4 linked regions of the Oreochromis niloticus genome follow. The protein of the gene in region 2 interacts with the protein of the main gene of each other region in a biochemical or structural test. Links are inferred from orthologs where the notes say so. Each region holds a gene or a part of one and is shown on either strand. Other genes may lie near its edges.

Evidence for each region.
Region 1: the proteins of patj (region 2) and tjp3 form a complex in vitro, tested with the Homo sapiens proteins (2 studies listed by BioGRID and IntAct, with this or other methods). The link is inferred for Oreochromis niloticus from reciprocal best matches to the Homo sapiens genes PATJ and TJP3.
Region 3: the proteins of patj (region 2) and tanc1b interact in a test that uses a peptide from one of them, tested with the Homo sapiens proteins (2 studies listed by IntAct, with this or other methods). The link is inferred for Oreochromis niloticus from reciprocal best matches to the Homo sapiens genes PATJ and TANC1.
Region 4: the proteins of patj (region 2) and plakophilin-4 interact in a test that uses a peptide from one of them, tested with the Homo sapiens proteins (2 studies listed by IntAct, with this or other methods). The link is inferred for Oreochromis niloticus from reciprocal best matches to the Homo sapiens genes PATJ and PKP4.

The regions. Positions count from the first base shown.
Region 1 is NC_031986.2:39,936,102-39,942,995, reverse strand, and holds the start of tjp3 (tight junction protein ZO-3), read left to right. Parts: upstream 1-3,879; 5' UTR 3,880-4,412; coding exon 4,413-4,493; intron 4,494-6,423; exon of another isoform or gene 6,424-6,468; intron 6,469-6,474; exon of another isoform or gene 6,475-6,719; coding exon of another isoform or gene 6,720-6,746; intron 6,747-6,894. UniProt on the Homo sapiens protein: TJP1, TJP2, and TJP3 are closely related scaffolding proteins that link tight junction (TJ) transmembrane proteins such as claudins, junctional adhesion molecules, and occludin to the actin cytoskeleton.
Region 2 is NC_031986.2:35,734,143-35,741,348, forward strand, and holds the start of patj (inaD-like protein), read left to right. Parts: upstream 1-4,200; 5' UTR 4,201-4,503; coding exon 4,504-4,596; intron 4,597-4,667; coding exon of another isoform or gene 4,668-4,692; intron 4,693-4,822; exon of another isoform or gene 4,823-4,823; coding exon 4,824-4,887; intron 4,888-4,973; coding exon 4,974-5,152; intron 5,153-7,206. Other genes in the region: tm2d1 (TM2 domain-containing protein 1), read right to left, coding at 544-635, 739-847, 1,204-1,277, 2,480-2,613.
Region 3 is NC_031987.2:15,065,695-15,073,373, forward strand, and holds the start of tanc1b (protein TANC1), read left to right. Parts: upstream 1-4,677; 5' UTR 4,678-4,853; intron 4,854-7,679. Other genes in the region: dap1b (death-associated protein-like 1 homolog), read left to right, coding at 31-127, 266-332, 448-564. UniProt on the Homo sapiens protein: May be a scaffold component in the postsynaptic density.
Region 4 is NC_031987.2:14,968,503-14,976,206, forward strand, and holds the start of plakophilin-4, read left to right. Parts: upstream 1-4,693; 5' UTR 4,694-4,904; intron 4,905-5,594; exon of another isoform or gene 5,595-5,616; intron 5,617-7,704. Other genes in the region: coiled-coil domain-containing protein 148, read right to left, coding at 2,077-2,198, 2,608-2,662. UniProt on the Homo sapiens protein: Plays a role as a regulator of Rho activity during cytokinesis. May play a role in junctional plaques.

The sequences.
Region 1 (6,894 bases), about 4.2 Mb from region 2:
AGAAGCCTTGAAGCTACGAAGAGCACGTTTACAGGTGAGTTAGCGTCGTTTCTGTCGGTGTTTCCTTCCTCCTGCACAGGTAATCAAACCATCTCAACTCAGCCTCTGGAGTGAAAGGTGAAGCTGAAGGATCATGTGTGACATAACACTGAGTCAAAGAAGTTTTTTTCTGTGGTTTTTCTCACTTTAGGTGAAGTTAGTTGGATGTTTACCGGACTGAAAGCTTTGTCGCTGCTTGACTGCAGTCCTCACAGGCCTGTGTGACAGTTGTGGTTTTCTCCTTAGTCATTTTGTGTGTTTTTGTTGGAGTTCCCTCACAGTTTAACGTGCTTGCCTTTATTTGTGTGCTTGTCTGTATTGCTGGGATGCTGACTGTCAGCTGTAAACTCCACTTTTTATTCCTCACCTTACTGGTTCGGCAACACATACAAGTTTCTACCTGTCCGGAACTGGAGTTTCACAATAGTTTCGACTGCATTCCCAACCTGCTGCGTCCTCCTCTCCACAGTCGGCATATTTACACACTCATTGTTTGATTTGGGACTAACACTGTCGATTAAGACTGCTGTTCTCCTAAGTTCCCTACTGCACATGAGGTGCTTTTAAGATTGTGACTCGTCCTTTCTGGATTTTTAAAAGTTAATCCAGGTTTTAATGTTTAGATGTGCTGAAGGTTTCTGTCATCGCAGCTGTAGCTTAGTTCAATTCAAATAAAAGGGGAAAAAGTTTAGCCTGCTGGTTTATTCCAGTAAAATAAATACATGTGTGGCGTCCATTTCCCAGAATGTGGACGTGTACACTTAAAGATATTAACCCTCAAGCAATGTAGATTTTACCAGCTAAAATAGCAGAGTGTGGTCATTTATGATCACACTACTTTTAAACCGAGAAACGCCCACACGCATCTGACAACAATGGCCACAAAATCCCTGATACAACATTAAAAGAGCAAAACACACACTGCATACTTGTTTTTCCCATTGAGAAAGTGCTGGTACATTATCCCAGATATATCAGATATATGGAGTTTGTTATAGTTAAGAAGTCTCAGTCTCTCCAGATGTGATAGTGTTTGCTCTTCCTCCCATCTATTTTCACTGCTGTAGTATTAACTTTTTTGCAGTCATCATTTAAACAGGGTTTCATACTTTGTCAAAAAGTTGCTCACTCTAAGGACAGCTGTAAATGTGTCCAGTTCCCAGCTCTTTGAAAAATACAGGGTACTTTGTGGTACTGATTGAGTTTATCAGACGTATATGGTTTGCTTTATCTATTACCCATTTTCTAAACTTGTGCAACGTGTGTACAAGAAATATTACATTTCTTACAAACCAAAACTTTTTTCTTTCATACGACAGAACAAAATGCAAATAAAAACTAAAGGTTGGATTCGAGATAAGCTGGGTGACTTTAACAACAATTATTATTATAAAGATATTATAATATCCAACAAAGAATCGAACTAGAGGTCATATATCTCAGTTCCTTGGTTTCTCTTCTCTGGCTGCCTATAAAATCTAGAATTTAAATTCAAAATTCTTCTCCTTATTTAAAAAAAAAAAAAAAAAGTAGTAGTATCATATCCTCCCCACTTTACTCTCAAACTGCTGACTTGCTTGGGATTCCTAGAATTTCCAAAATTAGAATTGGAGGCGGAGCCTTCAGCTTTCAGGCCAGTCTCCAGTTTGGATCCGGGAGACAGATACCTTCTCTACTTTTGTAAATGTTGCTTTTTGAGAACCCTTATCATGAGCTGACCCTGAACCATCCCTTGGTCATGCTCCTTAGGCTACATTTCTTCTCCACTCACCTCTCACTGCCCATGTGTTTATATGCTGCTACTGCATGTCGTTACCTTTGTCTTCTCTCCCATAGGCTGTTTGTCCTCGCCTCTCTCTATTCTCCTTTTTCACTCCTTTTTCTTTCTCAGGAGATTTCTTCCTGTTAAAGATGAATTTTTCCTTCCCGCTGTCATCAAGTGCTTGCTTATAGGTTGTTGTCTGATCTTTACTTCACAATATAAAGCATCTTGAAGTGACTGCTGTTGTGGCATAGCACTTATAATAAAAATTTAATTAAACAGTCAGGTTTTGTTTTGCTTCTGGTTAAAATAAAACCTAAAGTAGCATTTTATTTGTATATGTGTAATATGTAAAGTGTGTTTTGTGTAGAAAGGGTTCAAATATCTAGCTCTGAAATATCTGATATTTTGCACTTTTACAATGAGTTGGAATAATTTACATCCTGCACCGTTGCCACTCTTGTCCATAGATTTAATTTTTATATACATTTTATATTTATATTTCTTATATATTTTTATATTAAGGTGAGAGAGACACTGTCTTTCTCTTTGTCGGTATGACATGTACAAAAAATCTGGGAGTCTTTGAATCTTGAATCTAATTGCTAGCAAATATCACTAAAATCAACATGTTTAAATCCTAATATTTTTTTTTAAGATGGCATACTGTATAATTCCAGTTCTAAATGACTCTATATTTAAATACAGCTGGGGTCACAAGTGACGCTGCTCAGTCTTGACTTGAAGGTTAAAGAGAAAATACCTCTCGTAGCATATCTTACTTAACGTGTGAGGTATTATGCAACATCCCACATCGTCATCTCCACCGCCGTCCAGCAGTGCAGGACTTTAGCAGTCGTGCATATAATTCCAGTGACACCACCAGCATTGCTCACATTTCACACTTCATTTTTCCGTCTTTAACTAAAGGAACTTCCTTTTTCTTTCCAATTTTGGCTTCCATGATAAAATCAAGCAGCACAGCCCTCTTCTTCTTTCTTTTTTTCTAAACCACTTATTCACCTTGAGTTTGGTTCGAGGAAACTGCAATGGACGTGTTCGTTAAATAATCATGACCTCAATAGTTTTTGCCGTGATGGAGCAACCATCCACCATACACGTGTGACCATTTGCATCCTCATGCATAAGGGGCTGAGCACGTGTGGTATAACTCATGTTATGGCGCTGGGATAGCTGTAAAGTGGGTGTTTGCAGCACTTAGCACACAAGACAACACAAGTAAGTCCACTGAGTGTGGAAGCCACAAAGCCCTGGCCTGTGTAATTACAGCCTCTTTGCTGATTGTGTAAACCTCTGGAGTATTTGTTCCACAAAGCTCTATATTTACACAAGGAGGCTTTGCTTTTCCACATTCCCCACCGAACTCGTATACTGGAGCCTTCTTGGCTCCGTCGGTTGGCGTTTGTTAGTTTGTTTCGATGATGCACCGTTGAAGTATTTTAGTTATGCTCAACACTTAAAGCAGGCCTCTCCATTCATAGTGAAACTCAAGCGCAACAAGGTGACCTGGAGTCGATAGTCAGCAGTTTGCATATTGAATAGCCAACAGGAGTGGCCTCTCTATGAAAGCAAAACAAACAGAGTATCCTGCTGCCGAGCACACTGCAGTCCTCGGCGTGAATGAGTGAATATTTACCTACTATGAATGGTTTTACCTTTGCTACCTGTTTGTTTTTTTAGCAACCGTAGAAGTCTGTTTATTAAGATCAATTAATAATTCACACCTGGTGCTCTCGCTGACCTCAGGCTGGCTCTTCCACCTGGCTGAACCCAAGTTGGCATCTAACATCTGTTTTGTTTCTCAAGTTTTATAATACAGACACTGATCTGTGGATGAGGGATTTAGGAAGTAATAAGCTGTTGGATAGTGTTTTCTTCAAGCATGTAGCTTCACCTCCTCTTTGTCCCCCGTCCTCCTCAATGATTTGGGTACATGTCACACTGAACACTAAAAAAGGGGAAAAAAAAGGCTGCAACACGCCCATGCTGTGGGGCATATGTAAATGTTAACCATGGAACAGAGATAACATCGGGCTCTCTGTTGCCATTTCCTGATCCCGGGACACAGCCTGTGTAGGCACATCAGGACACTTACCCGAAGCTGGAAGATCCATAGTGTAGCAAACACCCCGTCAATTATTAACAGGCCAGTGCTCTCATTCTTCCCACGTAACCATGGCACCGAGCAGACAGAAACTCAGCCAGCAGCCTGGGATCTGCTCCTGCCTTGTGGGAAAGTAAGACGCACACATACCACTGACAGCGGGAGCAAGTGGACCTGTTTGACTTTATGAGCCTGTCACAAAGGGAACTATTGGGCACACGGACCTATGGAGCGCTCTTCGCATGACTTCTCCATTGGAAGCAGAGGGATGACAGTTGCTACTTTTATTTACTTTTAATTTTTAAACTTCTGTTTTTCATAGTTTTCTTTTTTTTTATGGCAAATTTGTGTTTTTCGTGAAGAGGCTTGCAGACCTGCATCAGTGACCATGTGTGACTGAGACACAGACACGGGATTATTAACAGATTTGCAGACAGCTGGAGATTTTTGGTGTCTGTGAATGAGTGGGTCAGCACTGTTATCATTATGAAGTTGACAGAGCGACTCAAACGACTGAAGCACTTGGGCTCTGTGCCTCCGGAGCCTCCGCCGCTGCTGGTGGTGCCCGTAAGTGAATGGATAGTAGTTATTTTATTTGTCTGTACTTCCTTTTTCCTATTACAGTAACCAAGCAGCATTATATTAACGTCAGCTTTAAGAGAACTTCACAGGTTACTTCCCCCCCCCCCCCCCCCACACTCTGTTAAATATCATCCTTTATTTGAATCCACAGAACTTTATTTATATTTCTTTATTTTTGTTGAACAGTTAGTTGAAAGGTTTCGATTTACAGTTAAAGAAAAGGTTTGTGAAGTGTTTTAAATCAGCAGAATTTCTTCATGTCTTGTTCATCAAATGTGTCAAAGTTGTGGAAAATGTATTCTTTATTGAACACACTGACTCAGTGACAGTTCAACTTGGCAAAAAGTAGGTGAGCTTGTTAACTTAGTGACTTGTAAAACCTTTGTTTATCTACGCGTGCTCCATAGCAAGCTTTTTCCACAGTTCGGTGTAAGAAGGAATTCATTTTCACTTCAAAGAATCTGGGATATATTTATAGAACAGGCCTCGTTAGGTCATCTCACTAAGGTCAAAGATTCTGAACATTGAAGCATTGTTTTTCTTCTATTTCAATCCCTCTGTCGCTGATTTCCTTGTGACACAATTCTTTGCTCCTTCACCGAGCCCACACCCGAAGGTATAAAAAGAAGGCCCTGAAGCCTGAGGCTCCTTCTGTTACGCTTCACAGTTTGGAGGAAAAAAAATAACAGGCAGCGCACAAAAACAACAAAACTTTCTCTAAAGATACCTGTGGATTTTCCTCCTCTGTCACAGAAGTGTTGTGGACATCCATCCTTCCTCCAAAGCTGCTCTTTATTAGGGCTTTTCTTGTAGTCGACAAAATGAACATTGGTTCTGATGTGCTTTTATCGTTGCGCTCTCTTTCGCCTCTTTCAGAAGTACGCGTCATGCTCTTGGTATGATCTTCTCAGGAAGCGTACTCCTAAGGGACCTCCTTAAATTTCTTCCTGTTTTATTGTGGACAGATTAACATGGAGACGGTTATGTAGATAGCCATCATCATATCATACGAATCTATGATTCTTCCCATACAGCCCTGTGGAAGTTGCTGTGATAAAGCCATAACTGACAGAACATACTTCTCATGTCATTGTTTATTTTTATTTATGAGGAGGAGTCCTTTTTGTAACACACATTTACAATTTCATGTCTTAATTGGAACGCCTGACCACAAGTAGCTTTTAGAGGCATATTTTTTTTCCTTGAACTGATTGTGCTGAGACCTTTTCTTATAGTTAGTTTAAACCTCTTAACCTCTTTTGATATTGAAACGAAGCCTACACCCTGCAGTAGTATATAGATATTTTAGTCTCAGTCTTCCATCAGCATCTAAAATAATTATTTTGTAAAAAGAGAATAGGAAGAGAGACACGTCATATCTCTGGATATGACGTGTTGAAGGAGACATGTCTAAAACTTTGCAATTCAAATCTCTGCATATTTTATGCAAACTTCTACTGAAACAAGGTTTTTCCCCACATAGAGAAATTTATTTTTACTGCCCCGAGAAGTGGTTTGTGACACTGCTCCAAGGTATAAAAAGCAAACAAACTCTTTCTTAATTTCAGTCTAATTTATTTAACCATAATTGATATTTTAGATGAAATAACAGACTGATATTAATTACTGTATGTGCAATAATATTAACAATCATGTGAACACACCCTTAAAAACTCCCGACCAAGCAGTGACTGTCTGTTATTTAGCGCTAAATAATATTTTTCTGCCTTGAAATGACAAAACTTTGAGCTTTGTAGTTCTTAGCCTAAATATTCAAAGCTATACAAACACACAAGGGAGTGATTACACTACCTGACATATTTAAGGTGCTTCCCAGTTCTCCCTAGTTCAGCTGGGTTTAAGGCAGAGCAGATCCACCTTAAAAGCCATGTTTATTAAAGGACACTAGAGAATGACTCTCAGAGTGGGCAAAGACTCAGAGGGGAGGAGCGCTTTCCAGGTGAGGTCTTTCAGTCTCTCTGCCTTGTGTGAGACAAACACCCCAGCTGGTCATATTACAATTTATTTCAGCGCCAGGATCTAGTTTCAGCCACCATCCATGCAGAGCTCACTGGCGGGAGAAGTAACCTGAGATTACTGGATCTGTGATTGTTTTTCTGTTGCCGGCTCCATATGGGATATAAAGAGCTGGCTGTTTGCTGAGCGCTGGAGGCAGCAGGTGTTTTGTTCAGGGTGAAATCCCAGTAGGAAATGGAAGTCAGGTTCAAAGATCACATGGTAAGTGCAGATGAAAATAAACGAAGCATTTATGGACTTAGTTATGCTTCCCTTTAGTGTGAAAAAGCATAACTGTTAAAGATTTCCAGAAATGTAAGGACACAAGTCATTAGTGATGTGCATCAGCTCCCTTAGATTAATGTTCTTT
Region 2 (7,206 bases):
AGGAGTGGGGACGCATTATTTACATGAAGGACCTGAGACTCGTCAGCCTGCAGCTTCCTGCTCTGCTATCGGTTTTGCTCAGATGAAACGCGTTGAAAACATGTCTGCATGAGCTTTCTCAGACTTTTAAACTCCTCCTCCTCTTGTGTCTGGTCTTCCTGCGCTGAGTCAGTGTCTGAGATCATTGTCTGAATGTTACAGTACATAGTATTCACTTTAATAAATACCTGCAGACATGAGAAAGCTGTAAATCTAAAACATGACTCTAAGGTGGTTTTTCCTTTTATTCAATTCTTTAAATTAAACCTGAAAGGCTGAACCTGAGGAATCACTGTCCAAATACTGACAGCTGACAGTACACCTGCTCACCGACAGGTGTCACCTGACTGCACCCCCAACCACCACACACACCTCCATCCACACCTGCTTTACTAAAACTAGATTAAGTGAGAGAGCTGGCCACCCAAACTACAGGCATCAAAATAAAAGCTGCAGGTGTCTGTGTGTGCGTGTGTGTGTGAGAGTGAGTGTGTGAGAGTGTACCCAGAGCAGGATATCCCAGGTAGAAGCGATCTGCTCCGAGCCAGCCCAGAAACAGAGACAATGCCACGGCCACTTTGTAGGAATAACCACTCCTGACAGGAAACACAGAGAGCATCAAACCACCTGAAGCTCACACACACACCAAAATCTATACAGGAGTGTGTGTGTGTCTGTGCTTGCACTGTGAATACTCACACATTCCTGCAGGGGATGGATTTGTTGAAGCCGACCTCGTCCCCGCTAAACCTGAACACCGTCCCGTTGGAGAGCCGACAGCTGATGTTTGGAGCTGGGAGGCACTCCACTGCGCATGCACGCACACGAGCACACACACGAGCACACACACACACACACACATACACTTGTTTAGATGCAGTTATGATTGTATTCACGCCATTGAGCAGCTCTGCATGATTCATGATTCGTAATAATCCTTCTTTATCTGATCCCAGCTTCAGTGCAACCCCTCAGTTCATCCTGTTTGAAAAACTCTTCTCTCTTTATACCCCACCCCCAAAATAAAGCACAGTTTCTCTTGACTGGCTGACCTGTGGAAGCCTGCTGAAGGGCAGCTCTGCAACATCTTCAGGTTTAGAGTCTGCCTGTTTTTTAAGCCACCGCCCACAAACAGAAAAAAATCTAATCTGAAGTGAGACTCACCCCACGCCGTCATGTCCCTGCAGTTCTCTGGCTCCTGAGTGGATTCGTCGATCTTTGGATCATTGCATTTATACGTGAGCAGAGTGAAGGAAGGCAAACACACTTCAGTTGGAAAACATCTGCAGCCTGTTTCTACGTGACACGGCGTAGACTGTGGTTTAGGGGCGGGGAAAAGAAGTCGATACAGCATCGTGTCAAGATACTGTCTGGATACAGGGACCCCAAATATCGATACTTCATTAAATAAATGAAAATACTCTGGAATCCTACAAACAATCTCATGCACGCCATCCTGAGATAACGTTAGCTTCCTCGCATGTACAATTAAATCAGCAGCTGCTTGCCGACTGTACAGCTGTTTTCTCTGTACCTGGTGCTGACTGTGCAGGTGTCCACAGCTTGTAGGTGTTTCACTCACAATGATCACAGGTCATCTGACGGAAAGCAACATTTCTCCAAACACTCTCAGTCTTACTGCGGTCACTCTCAGAGACTGTTGAAGGTTTGCAAATAACTGCTTTATAAATGCAGACTGATTGCCATCATGTTCCCATCAGCTGCTGAACGCAGATGTGATAATTAAACGTGAAATTCTGTCTATGGAGACAGCAACAGATGCATGATTTTCAAATTGTGACAAATCATAGTTGTAATAAACTTTGGTGAATTATCAGAGACGGACTGCATTCAGTTGCAGACTAACTTCATCTTATGGCAACATTTACGGCAGGTTTTAGTGACAGCCTTGGCTTGGTTGACAATAACTGAACTTTATCTTACTGGGTAAAACAGACACTGATAAAGGACACAGAGGTTAAAAATCACAATAACATCGTATCATTAGGTCTGACTGAACGATGAAAACAGCAGAGTGCTGCACTGAGTAAATATTCTGTGTTTATGAAACAAACTGATTCTCCTGATTCGGGTTTCTGAGCTCTCCTGACACAAGTGAACTGTTCGGTCTTCAGACTGAAGTTAAACATCAGATCGTAACTGCAAAGACAACGGAAAGCTTGTCCTCCTTTGAAACTTTAATCTGACCACACTGATCGAAAAATATCGATCAGACTGAAAAACCCTTCAGGTCCCAAACCTGTGAACACACACTGCTTTTCTATGAGAGGTGAAGCCCGCATTAAGCCACGGAACCCCCCAAAACGTCCAAATGTAACGTTTTGATCTGAATGTCACAGAGAAGCTATGGCTAACGTTAGCCGCCCCGTAACCCCGGTAATGAGGCGTTAAAGCGCGGTAAACACGGGCGGAAGGATATTGTCCGAGTCTCAGGTTCTGGCAGTTCTCCGCCTCCTCGCTCAGGACCAGCTGCAGGTGCGAATAAACGCAGTAAAATAAGAGGCTGAGCGCCCCGGAGCGCACACACAGCAGCCGCCTCCGGGAGGACGCCATGATTCCCTCAATCACGTGACAGGGCGGTACCTTCACGGACTTGCAGCATGCTGGGAACTCAGAGTGATGTAGGACCGGGAAGGCTCGGCAAACCATTTATATTTATTATTTTGGTTTTATTTGTATCGTTTTCAAATCTAATCATTTGTAACCATAAGACACATATATAAGTCTTGTTCTTGTTATAAAATCAGCTATTTAAATAAACTTAAATAAAATGCTACCAGGTAAAACAGTTTCAACCTGCTTCATGTGTGTTATTTTCTCGTTTAAGTATGGATATTTTATGTCAGACGTAGAAATAATCTATCTTCTTTATTGTGCTAAAATAATGAATGTGCTTTTAAACAGAATATGGAATTAAAAACAGTTAAACTAATGATAAGAAAACAAAATGATCCTTATATTATGCTTTTGCATTCTTAGATTGAGATTTCCTACAGCCATGAATGCGGCATTAAAGTGACGCTGGTGGCAGACTGGATCCAGTTTATGTGAGTTTCACACCAGTTTGAAACTCTGGGAATCTACGTGTTTTTCTGGCTTAAGTGTCGCTTCGTGTGCGGACTGTTTATCTGTTAGAGTGCGGACCGGAAGCGCAGTTTCTGCCGCAGTTAGCGGCTAATGCTAGCGGAGCGGAGTTCTCGAGTTCTCGGTGAGGAGAAAGAAGAGGAGGAGGAGGAGGAGAAACTCCTTTAACTCTTTACTTTATTCCCCTGATCTGAACTCCGAGGCAGACTTTGTACCTGTGTGCGTTTGTGTGTGTGTGTGTGTGTGTGTGTGAGAGAGAGAGGTGGTTAAAGTGCGGCTTTCACCTGTTGTAAACTTTGACGCACCTGCTCGCGAGCTCTGTGACGCTATGAGGTGAACCAAGGGCCAAAAGTGCAGGTTAAAATATGTACAGGTGAAAATACCGTCTGTCCGCCCCCTCCCCCTCCGCTGCTCAGTTTCACTTCCTGATTTCTCAGGTGAGCTGACAGGTGAGTGCAGCAGACCCCGCTCTGCGTCATGCTGTTTGGTTTCGGTGATGGGGGGTGGACCGTGTGTGTGTGAGGGAGAGAGAGAGAGAGAGACAATAGCTCGGCCTGGCTCGGCTCGGCTCTGATTGAGAAAATATTCCGTGCTGATATCGAAGCTCACCTGCCACACCTGGACACTGCGAGGACGGCCGTGTTAGCACGCAGGTGGGAAGTACCTGAGTACTTTCAGTACCACAGTGAAATAAGGTGTGAAGTAACTCCTTAAGTATGAGGTACAAGTTTTTAGAAAGTAGAATGGTGAAAAGTACGGTGGCCCGGAGGGCACAGTGCACGGCAGGGCGAGAACGTGCAGGTAAGGTCAGAAACGTCACTTTGTGAAATGGAAACCAGTGAACACCGTTAGGTCTGGGATACCATTACCATGGTGACTCAAAGGGACTCTTAAGGTTGCGGTCACGTGACTGCGTGCACCTGCTGTGGTGTGTTCAGGGTGTGGTGCTATGTCACACAATTCTCCGGTGCTCGTGACGGTTTTGGTGTTGATGGTACGTTCTCGGTTTCCGGTTCCGGCTGCCTGTCATAGTTTTCATCTTGTTTTTTCCTGTTTGGTGTCAAATTTCGGTGTTTACAGGCCTGTTTCATAAATCTGCTGTGTGTAGTATTTTCTTCACTCAGTACTGGTTTCTGTGGTTCTTCAGTTTGTAGTATTTGCTGTTTGTAGTATTTGGTGCCTTTTGTGTTTGGAGTTCGTAGTTTGTTATTTTTACCATCTTTACTTTATCGTTTTCAGGGATTTTCAGCATCACTTTGGTTTTTGTCTTTTTGTAGTTGATGGGGTTAGTTACGGTGCCCTCTGGCAGCTGGGATAGGCTCCACCCCCTGTGACCCTGATTTGGATAAGCAGAAAGAAATGAGCCAAAGGTGTTTGGTGGTGTTTCTGATATTATATCTTTGGTGTTCTCAATGTTGGGTCATATTTTGGCCGATTTTGGTGGGAGAAAAGGTGAGTGTGACTCACCTGAGACAGACAGTGCACAGGTGCTGACCTGCATGTTTTCCTGTGACTTCATGCAGTGTTGTTGATGACAGAGAAAGAGCGGTCAGTATGAGTCGTGCTGTGAGGTGTCAGAGCACAGGTAGCTCCACACCTGCTCGTATTTTAGTAGGTGTTTATCAGACTTGGTCCAGAGCTGAAGGAAATAAAGTTGTTCTCGGTTCTTCCTGGTTTAGGTTAGGTCCTCCAGAACAGAGGACGGCGAGAGCACAGCAGAGATGTTTGAAAATGTCCCGACAGGTAAGTCCTGACTATAACTCAAGAGAAACCATCCAATGATTCGCGTTTATCCGAGACCACGTCTCACACGCTGTTTATGTCCTCAGTGTCCTCGACGGAGCGTCAGCAGGTGCTGGCAGCTCTGGAGCGTCTGCAGGCCAAACTGGTGCAGCGGGAGGAGTGGACCCACAGCGATACCCTGGGAAACCTGCGAGAGACGCTGCAGAGCCCGCTCTTTAACCACATCCTGACTCTTCAACACTCTATCAAGCAGCTCCGCAGCCAGGTGAGCCTCACTGAGCATGCTCCGTCCTGCAAAATAGAGTGAATAGGATCGCTCTGATCCCAGCACGGATGTTTAAGGTTTACCGGTACTTCACCTGGACTGCAGGAGGCGCAGCTCAGGTGAAGGAGTTCACACAAAACAAAAGAGCCTTAAATGATGACTTTTATATTAACAGCTATTTCATGGAATATTTCATTCACAAGAATTTTATTGTTTTTATCCACAACCGTGTTTCCCTCACCTCCTTTCTCGTGATATAGATTGATATGGATGCTGTGCACTGTATGAAAGAAACAACCTCGCAACAACAAGATAAGAGAGGTTAGCTAGCAACAGGGAGCTAGCTGCAGCGACACACTTTCTATTTGTCTTCATCCCTTTACTCCACTGAGCCTGACACAGGGCTGCAAACATTACGAACATAAAGGTTTTTCATTTGTACAGTTTCTTTATGACTAACTATCATCTACTGTGATCGCCTGTAGCATTTTTTTTAAAATATCATAGCCTATTTTTTAAATGTATGTTTCGACTGGGTCCACAGTCTGAAAAGTGGACTGTAAGACGGACCCAACACACACACAATGTTTGTGCTCACAGTTCAGCTTTTATTGCCAACTTTCACATGTACAGCTATACAGTCTCTGCTCAGAGTTGGTCTCGGCACGCATGCATTTGCCTCTCACTATAAAAAGAAGAGACTGTGATTACCACCGCTACCACCTGTGGCCTCCCCAGGCACCACCCACTTGAGTTCACTGCGCCGCCCCTCCCCTGCAGCTAGGCCAGGGACCACACTGCCGCCAAAAGGACATTCTCATGTCCAGCAGGGGGCGACTCCTCATTTTGTACAAAGAAGTCTGTGAGAAAATCGGGGAACTATTTCCTGTGGCTGTAGCTCAGGAGGTAGAGCAGGTCATCTGCTGATTGGAAGGTTGGTAGTTCGATTCCTGGCTCCCCTAGTCTGCATGCCTAATATCATTGGGCAAGATCCTAACCCCCACTTGCTCATCAGAATATGAATGTATGTGAGTTAGAAAGCACTCACAAAGCATGTGTGGGTGTGTATGGGTGAATGTGGCGTGTTGTATAAAGCGCTTTGAATACTCCAGGAGAGTAGAAAAGCGCTATATAAGAATCAGTCCATCAGTCCAGTCCATGATGAATTTCAGGGCTGACTGAATCAAACATGAGGTCATTTTGGAGATTTTGGCGCTGTCAGAGTCACAGCAGGAGCAGGAAGTAGACAAGGGCGGGGCTATACTGTGATTGAGAAGTCACCACTTAATGAGTGAGCAGACTCCCTGAATTTTTCAGTCAGTTCATCTTTTATATACAGTCTCTATGTCAGGCAGACGATGCACTGCGAGATAAATCGGTCCTGACAGCTGCTATAGAGCTGGAGATGAGCAGAAGATGTCCAGAAACGCATAAACATTCCTGATTAACCCGGAAAAGAACCTGAGTTCAAGTAAAACTTCAGAAATGGAACAAAAAGCTTTCAGTTAGGTTTACTTCAGTGGGTGTTTCTCATCACATGTTCTCCATCTATCCGTGTGAGTGTTTCCCATCAGATCTGACAGGTGTAGCCCCGCCCAGGTGTTGACAGCCTATCGGGTATCAGTCCTGTGCTGCCTCCCGCCCACCGCTGTGACCCGGGCCGTCGAATCCTCTCTGCATCGCCATCTGTATTCAGCTCGCGCCTGCGCTGACGTGAGCTTTACAATAAACAATCTGCAGGCCAAATTAAGATAATGGCAATAACCCGCGGCGGGCTTCATATTCTAAGTGCTGCGAAGGTCAGAGCGAGTCTATGAATGCGCCGATGGAAGCCAGCGGAGGGTATATGAAGCGGGGACTTCTCCCTTTATTTCTGGCCCTCCCTCCCCAGCGTGCTGCAGATCTATCAGGCTTTAATATCTGGTGTCTCGGTTTGAGTAACGGCCTTGTCGAGGTGGTATTGATGAAATGGCTCGGGATCCTGCTCCGTCAGCCCGGCCTAAATAAGCCGCAGACTGATAAGTTTCCACAATGTGAGTGTAAAGGTCATTAAT
Region 3 (7,679 bases), on a different chromosome or scaffold from region 2:
TTTTGTTTCTTTCCTCTTTTGCATCACTAGTAAAGGCCGGGGGTAAACGGGTGGCCAAGAAAGGCATGGAAGAGAATCCCACCCATGCAACTCCAGAAAAGGACACCAAGAAGTCTGATAAAATCAGGTATGCTCACACTGTGCAGTAAATGTGCTTGAGCTGAAAACAAATTTAACAAATAAGAATGCCCAGCAGGATTTCCATCATATAGGTCACTAACTTTGCTTTAAAGCTGAGTATAACTCTGTTTTAAAACCTGTGCAGCAGGTCCCTTGCCACCCCCAACAGGATGCAACAAGTTGGCATACTTCTAACAGGAACCCTTGACAAGGTAAACAAAGCGTTAACTCTTAAAAAAGCCAGTTAATTCCTTTCCGAGCCAACTGGGTTATTTGCAGTGCTTCAAAGTATTGTGGATAATAAACCTCCTTCCTGATGTTTTGCAGCTGAGCCACGACTTCCCAGAAACACCTGTGAGCGTGAGGCACAGTAAGGTGCGCCCCGCGGTGGAGAAGTTGCACTCCCCTCGGGTCGTTTTCATCCAGCAGCCGAGGAAGTATTGAACTTCTTCGGGCGTGCCCTAGAGGGAACCATGTTTAGTCAGCCGTTAAACACCAATGTGAAGTGTTAGGCACGTGAGGAGACTGAGACTGACAGGTTGCCTGTAAAGTGTTGATAGAGTGAAAGCTTTCAAGCTTTGTTTACTTAGAAGGAAGAAAAAAAAAAAGCTCTTTGGGGCCATGCTTGTATGTGAATACTATAAACCAGCACTTAATGCATCTTTTCTGGCATTATAGTAGAATTCTATATTTGTATTTGTCATCTGATTGGAAAACAAAACCATTTGGTGGGTATGAGTATGTTTGAAGGGAGGGGTTAAGTTACTGAGGGAAGTATATGGGGGTGCTTTTAAGGGGAATCTTCACTTTGTATTGCATGGCAATTGTATTAGATTTATTAAAAAAAAGGGGACTGCAAGCCATCACTGTGTTATGTCTCTGTTTATTTCTTGGAACTGTTTTCTGTTCATACACTCTAAAATGGCCACAAGGGGGCAGCAAATGGCCATTTGTAACTTTAATAAACCAGACTGTGGTCATGGATGAAGTCAATCTCTAAGATGCGTGCATCTATGCAATATATATGCTTATTTATAATTATTTACTTACTTTTTACTTATAATATATGCTTACTTTTATCCATCTGGCCTCTTTCATGTAGTGACTGAACCTTGATATCGTAATGTTCCAGCAAGTCCACCCTCTATGTAGCCAAACTATTTTAATTATCCCAATATGTGTGTGCAGTGAGTCATAGTTAAACAGTGAGATGGATGAAAGGAAAAAGAAAACTCTTCCATAAAAGCTCGCTTGGTCTTGTAGGATTCACGGAGCTGATCTTTGCTTTAGAACGTTTTGCCCCCAATTCCATTCAGAGCCTGTCCATAATCTATATCTTGACCATTTTTCTTTCTTTTAATATGTTGGATAAATTGCAGAAACCAGAAAAACCTCCACGTGTCTGGAAAGTGAAAGTCAAAAGGGATTGCAGAAGTGTTATTGTTTTTAGTGTCAAGGCTGTGCTACAGGTCACCTCTGTGCAAGATGAACCAGACAGGTGCTGTGACTACTGAGTTTTAATCATTTTCAGGGATGCCTCTTGAATGCAGGCTAGTAAACTCAAACTGCAGGTGCCATGTTACACAAGGTAGATGGAGAGAAAGAGAAAGCTGAAGAAAACAAACTAATCTGCTTTCCACTTTCTGCTCCTCAGGATGAGCTGCAAGAGACAGATGGTCAAACAGGAGTTTGAAACAGATTGGATAAAATAAAAACTGTAAAGAAATCTCTCTCAGCCAGAGTACTGCATGCTGAGCACACACAAGAATGACAGAAATTTGTGTGGATTCATGTCAGAAAACCAAAATGACTTAATTGATGTATTTGTTGCTAGATATTTTCAGTTCCATGCAGGTTTATTTCTATAGTGCAAAATCACAAAAGTCACCTGGTGCTTTGTCCTCTAAGGCAAAATCCTTACAATGTTCTGGAGTAAACGGCAATCAAGTGACCCACTTTGTGACGGTGGGAAGGAAAAAATCCCTTTAAACAGGAAGAAACCTCCAGCAGAACCAGGCCCATGGAGGGGCAGCCATCTGCCGTGACTGGTTGGAGGGTGACGGGACAAAACGCAGTCTAGCGGGGGGAGAAGACAACATTTGAATGACATGCTGCAGTGGTGTTTAAACACAGGGGGAGTGCAACGAGATGAGTGGAGAAGAAATGCTCAGTGCATCAGATGAAGTCTGAGTCTATTTTTCAGGTCTTATTGGAATCTGCACATTACAGCAGTTTCCAAGGGAATCGTGAACTCATAACCACTGAAGACTTTCACTCATTCAGTTGCTGAACCAGTTTCACCCGAGAGCATCAACAACAACAACAAAAAACAAACTCGGAAAATAGGTGTTTTATCTTTCTTTTTTTACTGGAAGAAATATGAGTGCCACTGTCCATGTTCCTTCACAAAATATATCATCATAACTGCAGGATAATAATACACACAAAGTATTTTTTAGTGCAAAATGCAGGAAATATCACAATGTAAAGATTTTTTATGTAAGACTCCGTTTTCCACCAAAACTAAGATTTCTGATTATGCCTTTTTCACAGCAGACTCTTGTCACCTCAGCACAATGTAGAACAATCATCATCATATCGCTTTATATTCTTGCTGTTAACGATAAAGAATTGGAGTTAAAAAAAAAAAACTTTTGCAAGATTACACTGACATTAAGATTTTCCCTCAGAACAAGCTGCATAAACCAATGTTACCTCATGAGGTCACCATAGACTAAGGTGCACTACGAACTTCATTTGCCGCACCGAACTGAATCAAACCATGTGGAAAACCCTACTCCGGATCTAATTGCAATGATCCAGTAACCTAATTTGACACATGTGCTGTAGTTCATGAAATACTTTATATTTATTACTATATGTAAAACTAGCATTTCGATCAAGCTGTAACATTAAAATGTTAAAGTCAACAGGTTTATGGTCAAACTATGATTCAGCAGTATGCACAAAGCTAATGAGCAACATCCTGCTTTCAGCAGCCACTAATACAGACCTAAACCAATTAGACTTCATTTACATAAAAGCTCTGACTCATCTTTCAACTTCCCTCCTTCTAATGCACATCGTCGAGGAGGAAATTACACAGCCTACTTGCTAAGTTTGCAAACAGTGAGACAACTGGCAATTTAATGTATTTAGCTATCAGTTGACTATGAAAGTTTGGAGATTTTAAATTGCCTACATGTGCCCAGAGTGAAGATTGTTGCTGAAAAAGGATGACCAGAAAGCATTAATGCAAAGCAGTGTGTTGGTGCAGCAGCCAGTCCATCTGGTGCCATGTTACTCTTTATGTTCTTGGAAGGATTAATGAGGCCATGCATATATTTTACAGACAGTTTAATGTTCACATGTAAAATCGACATCTGCAAAGTAGCACATAGCTGCAATCAGTTATCAGTGCAGAGTAAAACTCAATTTAGGATCTGAAACAAGTAAGTATGTTAATATAGTAATATATATATTAGTATATAAAATTGTCAGAAACTGTTAAAGACTGTATACAACATAGACCAAAGCATCCTATTATTGCTTTTCTTCCAATTATATGAAAAAGAAAAGACCACCCTGAAGATGTCTAAAGCGTAGCTTGTAAGAATACAATAGCTATACACAGTAACAGTGATTGAGCAAAATGTTGTGGACAGCGAGGCAAGCTTCAGCTGATATTCACTGGACACTTTTGGCTTGATTGCAGCATTTTAGGTTCTGCAACTTTTGGTCCACCTAAATAAATAATGGATTCTTCAATATTCTACAACAGATTTATTCCTGGCAATGTGGAAAGAGCTTCGGCAGATTTTGGAACACAAATACCTTTGTATGGAAAACTAATCTCAGTCCAAGGTCCATTCGCTACCCTCTCTATGTTTCCAACTTCATCACACGATTTAATTTCACTTAAGCACCTTAAAGTTTCATTTTCAGTTCTCTTCTTTCTACATATTCCCAGAAGGCTTCTGGAAGAAAACACAGACAGCTGATTCACTTCCTCTGGATTCACCTCCCATCCAAGACTGCAAGTTTCTCCAACCAATCATTAAACTGAGCTCGGGCCTCAGTGTTAGGCAGTGGTGCTAATTTTGGCATTGTGCAACTGTACTCTTTATAAGGATGGGAAAAACCTGCATCCAGCTGACTAAGAAGGTGCTTTTAAGACTTTTAAGACAAAGTTAGAGAGGCAGAAGATGGTTTGGGCATGTGCAGAGGAGGGATGGTGGATATAGTAGACAAAGGATATTGAAGATAGAGCTGCTTGGCAGGAGGAGCGTGTATCTAGAGAAAGAGGATATGCAAAAGTTTGGTGTGACAGAAGAGGACCCAATTGATAGGGTGAGATGGAGGCATATGATCCGCTGTGGCGACCTCTGAAGGGAGCATCCAGAAAAAGAAAAATTTGAAGTTTTAGAGAATTTCACACTCCTTAAACTAAATGCTTGCAGCTTGTATCTCTAGCATCCTGTCATGTCCATGAGGCATGCACACAGCATGAGAGCAGAAGAAAAGAAGCGGAGGAGGAGGGAGGAGGAAGGAGGGGTAGATCTGGTTTGTTCTCCGCTGCTGATCCTTCCCACAGATGACCTCATGCGAGAGAAGGAGGAGTCCGACGTCCCGTAGCCTACCTTGGTGGAGCAAGTGGGGACTGAACTCGTGTGGAGATACGCTCAGAGTGCTGGTGAAACTTTTAGGACTTTAATATCCATGACATTTATCAGGTAAGATTTAAAGCGTATTCACAGATCGTTTGTGTGGTCGTTGTTGTTGTTAGTTTGTTCACCAGTTGGGAGAAGTAGTGTTAAAGCGTGAGAGTTTTAGTGGCAGTTTGTTGGGAGGAATGTCGGGACATGCCCATTGAGCAGTCTTCAAAACCAACGGGACTGACAGCAGTCATTGGGATTTTTATTTTCAGTTGCACACACACATCCAGCCTCTTTGTTCGAGTTGGTTTCTCTGCTGCTTTTACTTTACGTTACTGAGATGCTAAATTAGGTCAACTTTAAGGGAAGTTGTTCGGTTAGTGGGTTAAAAAAATCGCTTTTTTTTTTAGCAGGTAAAGTTTCCATTCATTTGGATGTTAAAATCAAAGGAAGCAACTTTAAAGTAACTGAAGTAACTTTAATCAAAGTAATTAAAAAGATTTGTTTCATAAACACGTCGAGGTGGCCATTTAATCGATTAGTCGATGGCAATAATTTTTAAAATGGCCTCATCTACAAAAACCTCTGCATTGCAAAATTCTGAGCACAGTTTTCAGTAAGTAGTAGTTGTTGTTTATTCCTGTTTTCGTGTGAAGAGAATTATAGAAAGGTAGGAAAAGCATCACTTTCCAGGCAGGTTTTATCATGTCTAAGCATTTTAAACTTTTCTGGTGTCATTCTAAGGCTTTGAATGAAATACAGTATGAGTCAGGGATGGGATGGCCTTGGTCCACACCACATGGTGTGTTCAGTTGATATATGGGTGGATCCCTGGTATAATAATCCTTAAAGTCAGTCATGCAAATATATAAGGAATGGGAAACTAGATGTAAGGACTGCAGAATTAATGGGATACAGCAGATAAAATTCATCCACTGGGGAAAATCATCCAACTGCCCATATGTGTGTCAGAATAACTGGGAAAAACTCATTTCAGAGTTGGACTATTCATTGAAGGTGAAGAAAGACCATTGCAGAGTTTCTGTATAGTCGATAAAATGTGAAATGAAAATAAATATTTGGAATTTAAGATTTAATTGGTGCAGATTCGCATGCTACACAGTATTGAAGTGACCTAAATTACTTAATCACCAGTAATCCGATAAGAAGTGAGGTGAGGGTAGCTATGGACCAGATGTGGCCATCGGTGTGTTGTGTAAAGACTGTGAGCAATAAAATACAGCGCATCATCTTATGCACAGTCAACGTTATTTTCCCCTTTTAGAGGAAAAGGCTCATGGGCATTAAAAAAAGATGGAGGGAGGAGGAACACTTGAATTCAGGGTTCTATTCATAGAGATTTCCAGTGATAAGATCAACTCATATCACTGTTCAGTGGATTGTGTTTATTTTTTAGACTGCATGTCTGAAAGTTTCATATAGTGGTTAGTGTCTGTTATCAGCTTGCTCGGGAAGAACGGTGATAATTGTATTGTCCTGCTTATTAGGACACAGATGATTCCAGAAAGGTCATTACTTTTCTTATGACTGTGTGGTCTTGTTTGATGCTAATGCTCTGTATTTTCTGATTGGATGTGGTGGTTTTGAAAGCAAAACCAAATCCAGATATAGCTGTAGGCCTAAGGCTAAAGGACTGTAATCTTTTCCACCCACATAAATTGAGTCATTGAAGTTTGACCACTGGCTGGATATGAGTTCTGCTGCTTTCAGCATATTTCCAGTGGAGGAATCCTCCTGTAACTAAGCCAGGTGCTTTGAAAATCAAAGTTCCAGTTTTTGTTTTCACCTCCTCGGAAATTGCTTGTAAATGTCAGGATGAAGCTTTGATCGTCGATCGCATGTGAAGTCATAGATTCAACATGCTCTCTGATCACTGTCTCCGATAAAATCTTCATAACCTTAAAGCCTTCAGGCATTCAGCCTTGAAAGAAGCTGCCACAACATTTGCTATTTCCTCCACTCAGCTGCTTGTTTCATTTTAGCTCTGAGGGCACTTTGCCTCTCTAGTGTTGATTTTTCCCCCCCCCCATTTCAGACTCAACAGGTGGGACAGGCTTTGCTGCTGACAATCATGCTGATGGTCAGTTAACGGGAATATGCTCTGTATTAACTTTCCAACATAATTTCAGGCAATTTTACGCTGATTATGAAACCATTAGAGAGGATTTGCATGCCTCTGTGCCAAGGCTAGAACTACCCCAATTGTCTGTTATGAGGTGTTTGAATTGCAGGGCAGTCATCTTATTGAAAGTCCCTCAAGAGTTTGCTTCCCACTCTCTGCAGAGCCTGGTTCCCATGGTCCTCAGCCAGTTGGCTTATAACAGATGCTGGCATCAGAGTCGTATTGTTATGGCTGAGGAGGGAAGGTTACTGGAGCCAGTGACCTGACAGACAGCACACACTGAGCTGGTGCTGATAATAAGGATAATGGTTTTGTCCTATTGAAAGGACCCAGTCCATGGTTCCAACAGGAAAGCCAGATTTTTAGCGGCTTGTAGGGTTCAGGACTCCGTATGTGAGCCTACCGGATGGGTTCTGAAAGCCTTGGTGTAAAAATCTGGTGTGAGTAAGGGTAACCAAGTCTTACTGCACAGTAGCTTGTGTGTAGCCTTACGGGAGTGCAGTATTTTGTAACTACATTAGCAAAAAGTTTGAGAGTGCTACTGTGTTACATACAACTCTCCATGAAACTCCATCCGTTGTCATGATTAATTGCAACATATTATCTCTTTAGCTCTTCCCTCACATGATTTACTTGCATGCTACCAAAACCTTCTGAAATGTGATTGCACAGATTTACTATCAGTGCAAATCAGAATGTTTCCTGTAGCGATAATCTTGTGTCTTGCTTTCAGAATCAGCATCTTCATATGCAGATATCTG
Region 4 (7,704 bases), on a different chromosome or scaffold from region 2:
CATCATAGAGTTTTAACGTGTCTTTGTGGATGACATGCTGAACTGCATTAACAGGCAGTGATTTCTGGAAGTATTTCTTTGCCCATGCAGTGATTTCCATGGTAGAATCATGCCCGTTTTTAATGCAGTGCTGCATGTCACAGGCATCCAGTATTAATCTTCAACCTAGTCACTTGTGTACAGAGATTTCTTCACATCCTCTGAATCTTTTGGTGATACTATGTACTGTAGATGACAAGCTGTTTAAAATCTTTGCAATTTTATGGAATTTTTCCACAATTAGTAGACACAATTTTTTTCCAGATTGGTGAACCTTAACCTATCTTTACGTCTGAGAGACTTTGCCTCTCTAAGATCTCTTTTTATACTCTCTGACCTGTTACTGACCCGTTGCCAAGTAACCTAATATTTTTCATGAAATACTAAAATGTCATATTTTCTATCTTCTGTTATTAAAAAATATAGTTTTATGTGATTTGTAAATCATTCCATTCTGTTTTTATTTATATTTTACACAGCGTCTCAAATTCTCTATAATAGGGTTTGTATATTCAGCTCGTAGACATCCACGTGAACAATGTAAAAATAGTTGTATGAGTACATTTAATTTCCTTTCATACGTAATGAGTAAAAAGTCATCTTTTTCTTTTTGAAGGTTTTAAACTTAAACCACATGTATTTACAAGCCATGTCTCGTTCTTTTTTCAGCTCCTCCCTTCAGGTGTTGCCACCCTATCCTCTGCATCACACCAATTATCTGCATGTCCTTTCTCACTACATCCACTAACCTTCGTTTTAGTCTTCCTTTTCTCCTTTAGCTTAGCAGTTAATATTAAACATCTTTTTCCTAATACATGCACTATCACTCTTCTACCCATGGCCAAACCATCTCAACCTTGCCTCTTTTACTTTGTCTCCAAATCAGCTCCATCCTGAGCAGGCCCTCTGATATACCCTTTCCTTATGCATTTTTTCATTCTTTATTGCTCTTTTTAATACATTTTGAAATACAAATCATCTCTGAAATGTCATACATGAGTAAAGGATCAATAATTTTGCAATCACACACAGGGGATTCTCCCACAATATTGGAGACATGGTATATTTCAGTTATGCATTTTCTTATAATAAAGTCAATGTCTTTCAGCAAAAACACATAAACATTAATATAGGTGAATCAGTAGGGAAAATGTAGCAATATTATGCCCATTTGTTGGATGTCTACCTGTAATCAAAACAGTATTGAAAAAAATATGTTTCCCACTCCTTTTTTCAGTGTTTACATACACACATATCTGTATATTGGGTAACACAGTGCACAGAGTGTAGTATAGAGCTACCAAGTGTTTACTGTCTACTAATGCTGCCAGTCCATTTATAGAAAGCAAAAATGATCCCATGCTTGAGGCTACTCATGGTAATTTATTTACCCCTATCACATCACCAATATGAGATGTTCAAAAAGCCTGCTTTTTCAGGAGGGCCAATATGAACATAGCCTCTCTTATCTAGGTTATCCAGAGCGCAGGGTTGGAAGAAGCCATGGGCTACCACGATGATGCTAGAAGGCTTCTGACACAATTTACTAATTAAAACAACACAGGTCTAATCTCCAGTGCCCCTAGCATTAACTTTTTGATCAGCTCAGAATCATATGACTATGAACTTCAAACAGTGTGGTGGGAAAACCCACAGGAAGCCAAATGAATATTCACAGAAATGCCATTCTGTATGGCAGTGATATTACTGCTCTCTTTCATGTTGTTGGACAAACTACAAGAATTATGCAATGTCTATTTTATGCTAAATGAAATCCTTTTACAGCGTGTGGCATATATGAAAGAGTGGAAAAAGGTAAACACACACACACACACGCACACAGATATTGCACTTTTTACTACTACTGAGGACATGCTGTTTAGTTAACACTTCCTTTGATGTATAATGAGTGGTTTTATTGCACATACTCCTTTATTTGCTGCTGAATCAACGTGTTATTAAATGCAACAGGACTTTATTTTAGGAAAACACAGCTTTTTTATTAGCACAGGGATGACAGTGCAAACAAAAGGTTACCTTTTGTCCAATTAGATCAGTCTCCTCGCGTTTGGCATCAACAATCGCTAGTAGTCTTTTATATTCTGCCGGCTTGTACTTTGAGCTGCCAAGACCATTTTTCATTCGCACTGTCAGTTTTTCTGCATGGATGAAAACAGATGATATGGATGAATTAGGATCACTGGAATTCTTGAAAATCTCATCACTTTTAATGTCTGAAGTAAAGACTTTATGCTGACTTCAGCAAAAAAAGGTTAGACAGAGGAGCAACACCAGTTAAGCTCTAATGGATTGTATGCGTAATAAAGAAATGATTGCACAGGAGGAGGGGGATAGCAGAGACAAACTGTGTCAGACGTTTTTTTTCAGTGCTTCGGCTTGACTCAAGGAAGCAGGTGGATAAACACAAGCTGTGCCTGTGACAAAAACAACAGACTTGAAAGGCACCTGGAGAATTCGACATGAGGGCTTCAGGTCAAACCGGTTCAACAGTTGAGTAGACCACTATGTCAGAAGCCAGAATATTCCAGCCATTTTTCACTCACTTACCAACATCTTCTGCTTTAATGCTTGTTATGAATGTTTGTAGATCCTTTCCACTCATCACTATTGAGCTTTATCTTCATGCACCAGAGTACCTTCAAAATAAAGACATTAATTATTGCGCTGCACACACATGCACAGCTTTGTTGCCTACAAAAAAAGTTTGGTGTGACATTGTTTAAAATGCTAGTTAACATCAACAAGTTTTAGTGTACTGGAGCCAGTGTGTGTGTGATATACTGCTGGAATGTTTTTTTTTTCCTTTTTGCCTTTGTTTTGGATTAAGCTTGGAAAGATTTTCGCACAGGATTCCTCTCCTTTCAAATGCATGGTGTGTGAAGAGATGGGATGAACTATGCAGGAATTAATTTTTCTATGATTGGAGGGAAAACAGATGCGCTGTTCTGAATCCTTGTCTATTTTTTGCCCATGTCTCCATTACATATAGACTTAAATACCGATTTTAAGGACAGCAAAATTATTACTTTTTCCATTTCAACACCAAATGGCAAGCCAAGGTTAGGATTCAAGACATAGGTCATTCTAGAAATGTCAATTTTTCTGTCCCTGGCTTTTACTACACTTAAAAACCACTTTATTTACAATTTATTTCTATGTTAAATTTGAATAATTTTTCCTTCCTCATTCTTTAATTTCACAATATTACAATTAGAATAGGCACCACCACCGCGTTTGTCCCCACAGTCGAGTATGGTGGGTAAAGGCTGTGTTTTTTTTGTTATATTTAAAATGCATCAAATCAATCAGATATGTTAAAAATATGATGACTGTGACACAATGAAGCAAAATGTGAAATAAATATTATAAGATATATAAAGAAAGTCATGGTCCCTTAAAACTGTGTCACTGGTGTTATGAGAAAAGTTTATTATTTTGAAACAAAACATCCCAATAATGACATCACTTGACTTACTTTCACAGATTTCCTGAAGCACTATAAAGAAATGGTCATGATGAGACCAGTGTCTCTTTTCATTTATCAGATTTTTTTCTGTTTTATCTCGTAATTTCATAATAAGCTTTTAGTTGAAGTCACTAATACAAAACAGTTAGGAAATTGTTAAAAAAAACAAAACCCAAAACAACAGAATATAAATGGATTAAATGACATAATCTGGTGAGTACAAGATGACTGACATCATGTGGTTTGATGCTTGCAGCATCTATTTTGTAAAAAGCATTTTCCATGAAAACTGTCACTGCTGTTACCTTCCTTATGGGTAACACTAGACCTCCGAGATAATAATTTTACATCCACTGAAATTCGGTACAGGTACAGGTTAAGATATAAAGAATGGCATTGTCACTCATTTTAAGTGTTCTTTATATGCTTTCATTTGATTTTATTGCTAATAAATGACTTTGCAAATATCATACATTGACGCTTTGAACAAACGCTTTGAAATAATAAAATATTATCTTATGATTTTTGCATCACATAGCATTATTCTAAATAATAATTAATAGAAGCCCCCAAAATTTGCATAAGGAGTAAGATAACACCAGTGGCGAAAAGGTGGCACATGGGTTAAATGTACAAAAGAAATATTTTTAAAAAATCATTAGGTTGTCATTTTTTTGCTGTTAAAACTATGGACATACAACTAGCCTAAAATATTTTCCAAGCCAAGCTCTGTTAATTTACTTTACCGATTTTTACCAATTATTATAGTCCTTAATTAAACTAGAAAACACTTAACTTTATCATTGTCACAGCTGCTACTGCTATAGTTTAGCGACAGTACTTGTGTAGAACCTATGCTCAACCTTACAAAAAAAAACCAAAACCAAGTGAACCAAAGGTTTCCTACAAGACCAAGCTCAAACTATACCTACAATAAAGTTACACACAACAATTAGCGATTATTTGCGTTGTAAACTAAGTATTTATACCCGACGAGCCACCTAGCTTACCTTGTTCTCTCCCTTCTACAGTGTATGGGTTGACAAAACAGGTAACCAAGGTAACTATCATCTTCTCAGTCATTGGTTAATTTAACAACGCGTACCTCTTCAGGAACGCCCCCGTATTCGCTTTGAAACCAATCAGGAGTGCACATCGGTTTCCCACATTCCCGCTGACGTCATGCACGCTCGCATTGCCTGGGACTGCTGTTGGAAGCGAGGAGCAGCCGAGGGGTCGTCTTCTTCACTCGAGTGTGGACGCGAGTTTCATTCTTCCACATGCATGGGACTAAAAGGCAGGACTTTACAGATGAAGTTACACATTCCAATGTAGATCCAAGCCGCAGCTCAGCCAGCGCAACTACAATCCTCCCAAGGTATGGAAATGTTTCTCTTTTCTTTTCTTTGCAAACTGCTAAATAATTGGAGTGAATACGCAGGGAGAAACGAGAGCATCTGTGCGCAGAGCAGGCAGGAGGGTATGGGCTGCTTACTTGAAGTCGGAAAGTGAAAAGAGAGTGGTTGCTTTTTTTCTTTCTCTTTTTTCCGTCTGTGCATGCGGCATAAGACAAGCTTCTTTTGGCTTCCTCTCAGCGGGGAAGAATCTAATACTACCCTAATCTGTTTCTTGTGACCGAATCATCGCAAACAACGCACACCTTTGAGGGACCTTCACGCGCTGTTTTTGATGCCATGCCTAACCGTGGGGGTGAAAACTTGGCCGGCTAATGTAAATGCACGGAAACTGCTCCGGGGTTAGTTTTCCTCTTGTAGAAAAACTCACTTTACTGTGGCAATGCCCTTGAAAACGTGTTGCTAAGTAGTGCAGGAAAAGGCAGGTGAGCTTAGAGTGTGGGAATCTCTGGAATGCGAGGTCGCCCAGGGGCGTAGATCCAAACTCTGCTCCTATTAGATTGGCTTACCTTTTACCCTCAGGTTGAACTAGCTAGGTTCAAACTACGCCATATTTAATGACTCTATTTTGCATTTTAAGAGGGTCGTTTCCTTTTTAACGGTAACCGTGACTCTACGTTGTCATCGTTTTGCACCGTGCAAGAACAACCTACCTTTGTGGCAGGGGTAGACTGAAACAGTAATTCAGACCGGGGATTTGAGTCCTTTCCAGGCCACCTTGTTCATGCGAACCTCACCAAACTGCTGTCTTTGAAGGCTTTTTACTGGTTACAAACTGAGTGCTTGCTCTTCAGAGTATCATATGGGCAGTGGTAGAAGGAATACTCAGGTACTGTTACAAATGTGCCTCTACTGCAAAGTGTATCTTTAGGTGTTACAAAAACACTTTAAAGTGCAAAGTGTTCTTGTCAAAAACAACTCTTTGTATTAGTTTTTAACGGCTTATATTTGTCTTCTTTATCAGTAGCATTAATTCATAGGGGAAAAACCATGTAGGAAAACCACCATATTCACAACAGTCTCATAAAATCACAATGTCAGTGAAACAAATGACTCGGGATATAATTTATAATTAAGATGACAAAATGAAAAATAAAAAATTGGCAGCGATCAAATATAATCGTAATTATATAAGCTCTAGGTTTCTATTTCCAAAGAAATCACATCATGAAGTGATTACTTTGTTATTAAAAAGGAAATCTGTAGCCAATACTATACAAGCATAACAGACACAAGCATCAAGTATAAACACTTAAGAAGTGCATGAGAATATATAAGCTACAGGTGTGTGTGTGTGTGTGTCTGTCTGTCTGTCTGTACACAAAATGAAAAAAGGAGAGGGAAACCAGTGAGTGCAGACCCACAGAGGTGGGGGTGAAACCGTGTAGGTGTAAATGTAAGCAGACAAAAGGTTTTAGAGTTGAAGGCGGGAAACTCTGGATTCCCAGAATCTTTAAAATGAAGCTTTTGTCCCAATTCACCAAGGTCAAAATACTCAAGCTGGGATGTGCCACACATTAGTAAAAAGAGAAATGAGTGATTCTAATGTGAAACGGCAAATAGTGGCTGCACTAAGAAATGATAAGGATTATAGAGAGTCTGTGAAGAAGATGAATAGTAAAGGGAAAAAAAGAAAAAACATTTACTTTTATATGTATATTTTTTATTTTTTATTGTTCTTAATTGTCATAGCTTGCTTTTAAAAGTACCTGCGTCCACAGTCCAAAACATGGACATTAGGTTAATGGGAGGTTCTAAATTGCCTGTCTCTGTGTGTTAGCCCTGTGATGGACTGGTGACCTGTCCGTGGTCTACCCCACTTCTCAACCTACGACAGCTGGCATTGGCTCCAGCTCTCCCCCCAGCTCTGAATTGCACAAGTGGTTAAAATGTACCCTCACAGATGACTTGTGGAAGTAGTTGTAATTCACTAGCACCATCACTGGCTATGGGTGTAGAATTAAAACTTACCAGAGCAGTTTTCTCACATGGCAGGTAGGGCTGGGCGATATGACCCAAAATTCATATCTCGATATTTTTTAGCTGGATGGCGATATAAGATATATATCTCGATATTTTTTTAAAGCCATAAAGTAAGAACAAAAAGAGAGTTCTTAGTCAAAGCTGTGTCCCAGATGTCACACAGGCACTTTTATTAACATACAGCATAGATGTACATGAAAAAAACTACTCAAAAATAAATTATGAGCATTTATTAAATAATAATGCTCCATAAATAAACCAAAACAATGTTGTTTTTGTGCATAACAAAAAGCTCACAATTGTGCAGTCAGAATGTAAACTAAAAGACGCTGAGCATAATAACATAGACAGATTTCACAGCTGCTCTGTTCCCAACTTCTGCTGCGTAACTGACAGCCTGGAGTTTGAAATCAGCTGCATAACCACGTCTCTTAACAGGTGCCATTTATGGTCCTTATACACACACAATACGGTAATATTACCTTGAAGCACAGTACGTATTACTCCGCGAGGCTCCTTGGTAGCCGTAATGCTCCGACAATCCATCAAGAGGTGCAGCTCCGTAGCTTACCAAAGTCGTACCAAAACATTTTTTGACAGATTGCTGAGCGCTGTGTATCACATAAAATCGGTTCGGTCATCAAGCACAACCAGAATTCATACAAAAGGCGCGCTGTCAACTTTTGAGAGAATGAAAGGATTTTAGGCTGTGCAGCCCCTCTGGGCTGCATGGCGTTAGCGTGGTTAGCTCGTTAACACGTTGACGCCATCCAGCCCCAC